Linked DNA regions of Callithrix jacchus. The protein of the gene in region 1 purifies or fractionates together with the protein of each later gene. This does not show direct contact. Links are inferred from orthologs where the notes say so. Each region holds a gene or a part of one and is shown in the gene's direction. Other genes may lie near its edges. The genes, in order: TSC22D4 and NRBP2.

Region 1 (4,491 bases):
AACCAAAAAAATTATAAGAAATGTAGCCAGGCATGGTAGTTTGTGTCTGTAGTCCCAGCTACTTGGGAGGCTGATGCAGGAGGATCAATTGAAGCCAGGAGTTTGAGACCATACTGGGGGACATAGTGACAGCCCCACCTCTACAAAAATTTAAAAATTAGCTGGGTGTGGTGGCATGCGTCTAAAGTCCTAGCCACTTGGGAGGCTGAGGCAGGAGTATGGCTTGAACCCAGGAGTTCCAGGCTGTGGTGAGCTTTAATCACACCACTGTGCTCCATCCTGGGCAACAGAGAGAGAGAGAGAGAGACCCTGTCTCTAATAAAAAGGAGGAGGGTGGGGGAGAGGGGAATAATATAATGTCCAGGATTTGATTTCAAATAGTCTAGCAAAATACAGCTGGCTCCCGAACAATGTCATTTCACTGAATGAAATGTCATCTCACTCTGTTGCCCAGGCTGGAGTGCATCTTGGCTCATGGCAGGCCCGACCTCCTGGGGTCATGAGATCCTCCTGCCTCAGCCTCCTGAGTAGTTGGGACTATATGTGTACATCACCACATTCAGTTAATTTTTTAAAAAATTTTTTGTAGAGATGGAGATCTGGCTATATTGTTCAGGCTGGTCTCAAACTCCTCGGCTCAAGAAATCCTCCTCCCTCAGCATTTGAGTAGCTGGAATTACCAGTGCACCTCCCCATGCCCAGCTAATTTTAAAAATTTTTTGTACAGACAGGGATCTCGCTACATTGCCCAGGCTGGTCTCGAACTCCTGGCCTCAAGCGAGCCTTCCACCTCAGCCTTTGAGTAGCTGGAATTATAGGTGCACCTCACCATGCCCAACTAATTCTTTTATTTTTTGTAGGGGCCGGGTCTTGCTATATTGTCCAAACAGGTCTCAAGCTATCCTCCTTCCTCGGCCTCCCAAACAAAGTGCAGGGATTGACAGGTGTGAGCCACAGTATTCGGCAATAATCCACTTTTAAAAATAAGGAATGAGGGGAATAATAGTACCTTCCTCATTTAGTTGCTGTGGAAAGGAAAGGAGAATGACGGTAATAGCCACAGCCGCCCCACAGCAGGAACTAGGCACTTCTGGGGGGGCACCCAGTACACCTCCAGGCCTGTGCCGTCCCTCTCTTTGGTGAGTCTCTAGGAGAGGGGCAACAATTGACTACAAGTAAGGGAATCCCTCGCCTCCCTGCAAGCTCCTCCCCTTTCTCCCCGAGCCCCGCCCTCTGCAGCCCCTCCCTGCAAGAGTGGTGCTGGGGCCCGGCAGGTGTGGGGTTAAGGGAGTCTGTTTGCGGCCCCCAGGAGCAGCAGCCTGAGCAGCGGCCGCAACAACTGCAACAGCAGCGGCTGTGGCAGGCCTGGCCCCTGGCCAGCTGGCGGGGAGCCCCAGGAGGGAGGGAGGGAGGAGGAAGGGGAGGAAGAGGGGAAGGAGGAGGAGGAGGAGAGGAGCAGTCAGCAGGCCCGAGGAGGCAGGACTTCCTGGTGTGGGGGTTGTCAACAGCTCAGAAAGAGAAAGACGGAGAGGCAGACCCAGGGGAGCCGAGGAGCGGAGACAAGGACCCAGCGGGGCCACGCGGGAGGAGACTCGGGACACCAACTCGCCGGCTGCCACCGGGAGCAGCGGGGGACTCCGCCGCCCCCTCCCACATCGTCTCCAGACCCTTGGTGCTTCAGAGGCCGCGCTTGGGCTCCTCGGAGGAGGCTCGGGTTCCTTCTTTTCGGAGAGCAAACTTTACACGGAGATGCCTCGCAGAATGAGCTGCGGCCCCCGAAGAGGACGGGGCAGCCTGTGATCGCCGCCTGCGAGTCCCGCCACTGCCCGGGGCCAGGAGGCCCCAGGGAACCGACAGCCCTACCTCTTAGGCGCCGGGACCCCCAGGCTCAGATCAGTGGCCGAGGCCCCAGAGGTAGGGCTTGTGGCTGGGCGGGGCGCAGAGGGGTAGCCTGGCAGGGCTTGACCCAAAGATGTGGGAGCTGGGGTGAGGGTGGGGGCTGGAGGCCTAGGAGAGGTCTCTCTCTGGGTGGCCGGGCCAGGCTGGGGAGCTGCTTCACCCCGGTTCTCCCAGGCCCTGGAGTCCGAGCTCCTGGGACAATGCAGGATCCCTGAGTCGGAATCCCAAGCGAGAAATGTTCAACTCTGGGACCCGTCTGCCTCTTCCTACCCTGAACGCCTTCTGGGATCCGGTCCCCTCTGCCCTGGTCTCTTGTCATCTCTTGCCTGCCTCTGGTTCTCTGACGGTTTCCTCTTCCCCCACTTTGCTCCCCGGAGAGGAAGCCCCGGAGGTGGCCTGCCCACTGGTTTCACACACACACACAGACACACACATAAACTCTCTCTCTCTCTCTGTCTTTTTCCAGTTTGCAAACTCAGCTCTGGAGTTCAGCAGCGACAGCAGCAGGAAAAACCTGCCCTTGCTCCCCCCTCCTGCCACCTCCACTCTCCTCCTCTCCCCTCACCCAGCAGGCACCCCCGGTTCCCGCCAGGCCCTCCTGCCATGTCGGACCCAGACGTCCCCAGGGGCCCGGATGCCCCCACCATGTGGCCCCCTTGTTCCAGGGGTGCCTGAGCCCCTTCAAGGAGCCCCAGCCTACCCCCAACCTTGGCCCAGCCCTGAGCCCCAGGGACCATGAGCGGGGGCAAGAAGAAGAGTAGTTTCCAAATCACCAGCGTGACCACGGACTACGAGGGCCCGGGGAGCCCAGCGGCTTCGGACCCCCCTGGCCCACTGCCCCCCACCGGGCCCCCACCCCGCCTGCCAAATGGGGAGCACAGCCCTGATCCGGGGGGCAAGGGCACCCCCCGTAATGGCTCTCCCCCACCTGGGGCCCCCTCCTCCCGTTTCCGGGTGGTGAAGCTGCCCCACGGCCTGGGAGAGCCTTATCGCCGAGGTCGCTGGACTTGTGTGGATGTTTATGAGCGAGACCTGGAGCCCCACAGCTTTGGCCGCCTCCTGGAGGGAATTCGAGGGACATCAGCGGGCGCTGGGGGCAGATCTTTGGATTCCAGGTTGGAGCTGGCCAGCCTCGGCCTGGGCACCCCCACCCCACAGTCAGGCCTGTCTCAGGGCCCCACCTCCTGGCTCCGTCCACCGCCGACCTCTCCCGGACCTCAGGCCCGCTCCTTCACTGGGGGGCTGGGCCAGCTGGTGGTGCCCGGAAAAGCCAAGGCAGAGACACCCCCACTGTCGGCTTCCCCGCCTCAGCAGCGCCCCCCAGAGCCTGGGACTGGGGAGAGCGGGGGCACATCTCGGGCTGCCACACCCCTGCCCTCCCTGAGGGTGGAAGCAGAGGCTGGGGGCTCCGGGTCCAGGACCCCTCCACTGTCCCGGAGGAAGGCTGTAGACATGCGGCTGCGGATGGAGTTGGGTGCTCCAGAGGAGATGGGGCAGGTAAGACCTGGGTTCTAGGGCTCGCCCATCTCAGCCCTGGCCTGACCTTCATGTTGGGCCTCCCTACCTCTGCCTCCCTCCCCCTCCTCCCCCCTCCTATCCCTTCTCCTCCTCCTCCTCCACCTCCTCCTCTTCCATCACCTGTCTATCAGATCAGACAGCCCCTTCTCTGTGCCTGCCAAGTCACTCTCAAGCCCCTTCCTTGGTTTTCTGCCTCAGCCTCCTTCCTGTTTTTTGCACCCTTTCTCTTTCTCTCTGGCCTCTGATTCTGTCTTGGTTTTCACGTGGCCTGGCATATGTGGCCTCCTCACCTGGCCTTCTTCTGTCTTGGTCTCAGCTCCTCTGGCTCTAGGTGATGAGGGTGGAGGCCCCAGCTGGGTAGCTGGGTCCCTGGGGTAGGAGCTGCCAGGATTTGGGGAGGAATGGTAAAAGGTAGGCCTTGTATGCTGCCAGTCTCTTTCCACTGCAGCCCCATCCTGAATGTGGGGTCTTTCTTTTCCCCCAGCCACCCATCGCAGTCCCACTTCTAGCTTTGCTGCAAGCCAAGTGTCATGGAGAAATTGGGTGGGGGGAACACCTCCCTGGGATGGGGAAGGGGCTTGCTGGTTGATCCTTTTCACTCCCCAGTTGTCTGGCTCAACTCCCTCCAGGCAAGAAGAACTTGAGGAGGAATGCAGTCCCCGTACTGTTTCTCCTTCCTGTCTCCAAAAGAGGAACAAGTCTGGGCTGGGGGTGGGGGGCAGGATGCCTGGGTCCCCAGGGTGGGGGCGAGAAGCCAGAGACATGGGGATTGAATACTTCTGTCCTGCGGGAGAAAATAACACCTCGGAGGGCTGGGGAAAGGCAGGGAGTGTGAGGATGCGAACTCTTTCCCCTTCCTGGCCTTGGGCACAAACCACAGTATAAAAATAACCTGGGACTGGATGTCTGGGTCCTGTCAGGACCAGTCAGGACTGGCTCCCCCCCACCCCTCCTGGCCTCAAGTTCACATCTCTCATGATGCACCCCCCTTCCTTCCCCCACTCTTCTTGAACTCTTGCATTCAACGCCCACCCCGGGGGAGAAGATGCTGTTTCTCTTATTGGTCCCTGTCCT
Region 2 (2,795 bases), on another chromosome or scaffold:
TTAAGAACAAGAAGGCAAGAGAGAGCCTTTCTCTGTGGCTGCTATCACCATGCCTGTTTTATAGATAAAGAAACCGAGGTTCGGAGATGAGTCCTTTACCCAAAGTTTTAGAGTAAATGGTAGAGCTAACCTCTGTACCTGGGTCTGCTTCAGTCCAATAACTTGACTTTAAATTTCCAGCTTGTGGGGAGACATGGTGGGTGCCAGGCAGGCAAAAGAGGTATGGGATGGAAGCTGCGTCCCCAGCCCCTCTGCTTGGAGTCCAGACTTCGCCCCATGGCCTCAGGAGATGGGGGTGCCTGCACGGGCAGGTGGGGAGCTGGAGCTGGAGTGGGTATGGATATGGACAGGGTGAGGACCTGTCCACATGGCTGTCTCCAGTGTTGAGCCTGAGCTGGGCCGATCAAAAGTCTGTGGGTAGGAGGCCTGCAGGTGTGACTTGAGGGTCATGGCTCCTACTCCCCACAGTTTTTTGAGGGTTGAGGGAAGCAGAGCATGGGCGCTCCAATCCCAGAACCCAGCTGTCCTCAAGCTCGGAGGACCTGGTCCTGGCCTGGCTGCTGCCAGGACTCCTCCCTGTGGTCATCCCTGCATGTCCCATGTGTCCCTGAGGAGGAGGGACATGGGGAACTCAGAAGCTGCCTCTCCTCGAACTGTGGGGTCAGAGCAGAGAGCCCCTGCACACCACCAGCCCCTCCTCCCCACACCCCAGGAGTTCATCCTTTGCTGCCTGGCCCGGGACCCTGCCCGCCGGCCCTCTGCCCACAGCCTCCTCTTCCACCGAGTGCTTTTCGAGGTGCACTCACTGAAGCTCCTGGCAGCTCACTGCTTCATCCAGCACCAATGTGAGCAGCAGGCCAGCCCAGGGGGTGGCCAGGGAGGCTGAGGGTTGGGACGTGGAAGGGGGCTCTGCAGGACCCAAGGCCTGAGCCCATCACCTTGATGCTCCTGTGGCCGCAGACCTCATGCCTGAGAATGTGGTGGAGGAGAAGACCAAGGCCATGGACCTGCATGCTGTCTTGGCAGAGCTTCCCCGGCCCCGCAGGCCCCCACTGCAGTGGCGGTGAGCAGTCAGCGCCCAGAAGCCTCCCCTTCCAGCGTCCCTGGCCAGCCCCTCATGTGCCTCCCACCTCCATGCCAGGTACTCGGAGGTCTCCTTCATGGAGCTGGACAAATTCCTGGAAGATGTCAGGTGAGAGCTGATGTAAGGCTGGGGGCCAGGCAGCTGTCAGGCCTGAGTCCCCAGCTACCCTGGTGTGTCCCCAGGAACGGGATCTACCCACTGATGAACTTTGCAGCCACTCGGCCCCTGGGGCTGCCCCGTGTGCTGGCCCCACCCCCAGAAGAGGTCCAAAAGGCCAAGACCCCAACACCAGAGCCCTTTGACTCTGAGACTAGAAAGGTGAGGCCTCTCTCCTGCTGCTCAGTGCCAGCCCTCAGACAGACAAGAGGTGCCCCTTCTTCTCTCAGGGCCTGCATCCCCACAGCCCAGCTCTCCTCCAGGCGGCCAGAGACCGGATTCAGGCTGATCCTCCGGTGCGGATCGTGGGGGTTGTTGGACAGGCTGGACACTCCCCTTTTCTAGGAGGCTCCATGTCCTCTCAGATCCTTCCCCCACATCCTGCTGCCCTGAACCCACTCCAACCATCTTTCCTCCAGGACTCACCTGGGGCCCTTCTACCTGCCAGCACTCTTCACCCACCCCCGGGTGCTGATTCCTGGACATCTGTGTCCTGGTGTCTCCCCAGACTTCTACAGTGCTGCCTACTGGCCAGAAGCCTCTCTCAGTGCAGTGCAGCCAGAATTCATGTCCTAAACAAGCAAACTGCCTGCTCCTGGCTGGCCACAGAGATCATGGGAGTCCTCAGCCGATGCCCAGGCTCTGGGAGGCCTGATTCTGCAGGCACTGTGCACTTCCGTGTGGCCCTGTCCTGGCCACCCTCCCTTTTCCTGTGCCCATAGTTCCCTCTTTGTTCAAGTCATTCTCTCCATGGTGAAAGCTCCTATTCACCTTTCAGTACCCAGCTCCTAATGTTGATTCTTTAAGAAGCTTTCCTTAGCTTGCCAGGCCACTAGCAGTGAGATGGGCTCCTCTTAGAGACTCCCCGCTTGACGATCTCTGCTGTCCCTTCTGGGCCCCTCTGGCACAGCAGCATGTGCTCTTGCTGCTGGGTTTGTGAGTCCCAGCCTTCCCCCGCTGCAGGTCATCCAGATGCAGTGCAACCTGGAGAGGAGCGAGGACAAGGCACGCTGGCATGTGAGCGGGGCCCGGGAGGACGGCACTGCTGTGGGGAAGGCGGGGGCCTGGCAGACCCCCGAACTCCCCGCCGACTTTGCCCTGCCACCTCCCCAGCTCACTCTGCTTCTGGTGATGGAGGACCGGCTGCACCGGCAGCTGACCTACGACCTGCTCCCAAGTAGGCTGGGCAGGGGACTTGGGCGGTGGGCAGTGACCCCGGGTAGCCGGAGGCGCAGTGGCCTCTAGCCTCACCTTACGCCGTTGCCCCAGCGGACAGTGCTCAGGACCTCGCCGCGGAGCTCGTGCACTACGGCTTCCTCCACGAGGTGTGCAGGGCAGGGTGGTGCTGCCAGGCCGAGGGGGTGTGCGGGGCAGGCCGCACCCCTCCGTCCCCCATGCCTCCCTCCTTCCGCAGGGCGACCGGATGAAGCTGGCCACCTTCCTGGAGAGCACTTTCCTCAAGTACCGTGGGGCCCAGGCCTGACCTGGTGCCCCAGCCCCAGGGGACCATGCCAGGGTGCTGCCCAGGTCAGGCCACATTGGGGAGAGCCCAGCA

What was found.
Region 2: the proteins of TSC22D4 (region 1) and NRBP2 purify together in Homo sapiens (affinity purification with mass spectrometry; 3 studies listed by BioGRID and IntAct, counting the BioPlex papers as one, with this or other methods). This does not show direct contact. The link is inferred for Callithrix jacchus from reciprocal best matches to the Homo sapiens genes TSC22D4 and NRBP2.

The regions. Positions count from the first base shown.
Region 1 is NC_133503.1:13,245,001-13,249,491, forward strand, and holds the start of TSC22D4 (TSC22 domain family protein 4), read left to right. Parts: upstream 1-1,511; 5' UTR 1,512-1,914; intron 1,915-2,365; 5' UTR 2,366-2,634; coding exon 2,635-3,396; intron 3,397-4,491.
Region 2 is NC_133517.1:53,777,194-53,779,988, forward strand, and holds part of NRBP2 (nuclear receptor-binding protein 2), read left to right. Parts: intron 1-712; coding exon 713-845; intron 846-960; coding exon 961-1,063; intron 1,064-1,141; coding exon 1,142-1,192; intron 1,193-1,266; coding exon 1,267-1,402; intron 1,403-2,203; coding exon 2,204-2,257; intron 2,258-2,353; coding exon 2,354-2,417; intron 2,418-2,509; coding exon 2,510-2,667; coding exon of another isoform or gene 2,668-2,723; 3' UTR 2,724-2,795. UniProt on the Homo sapiens protein: May regulate apoptosis of neural progenitor cells during their differentiation.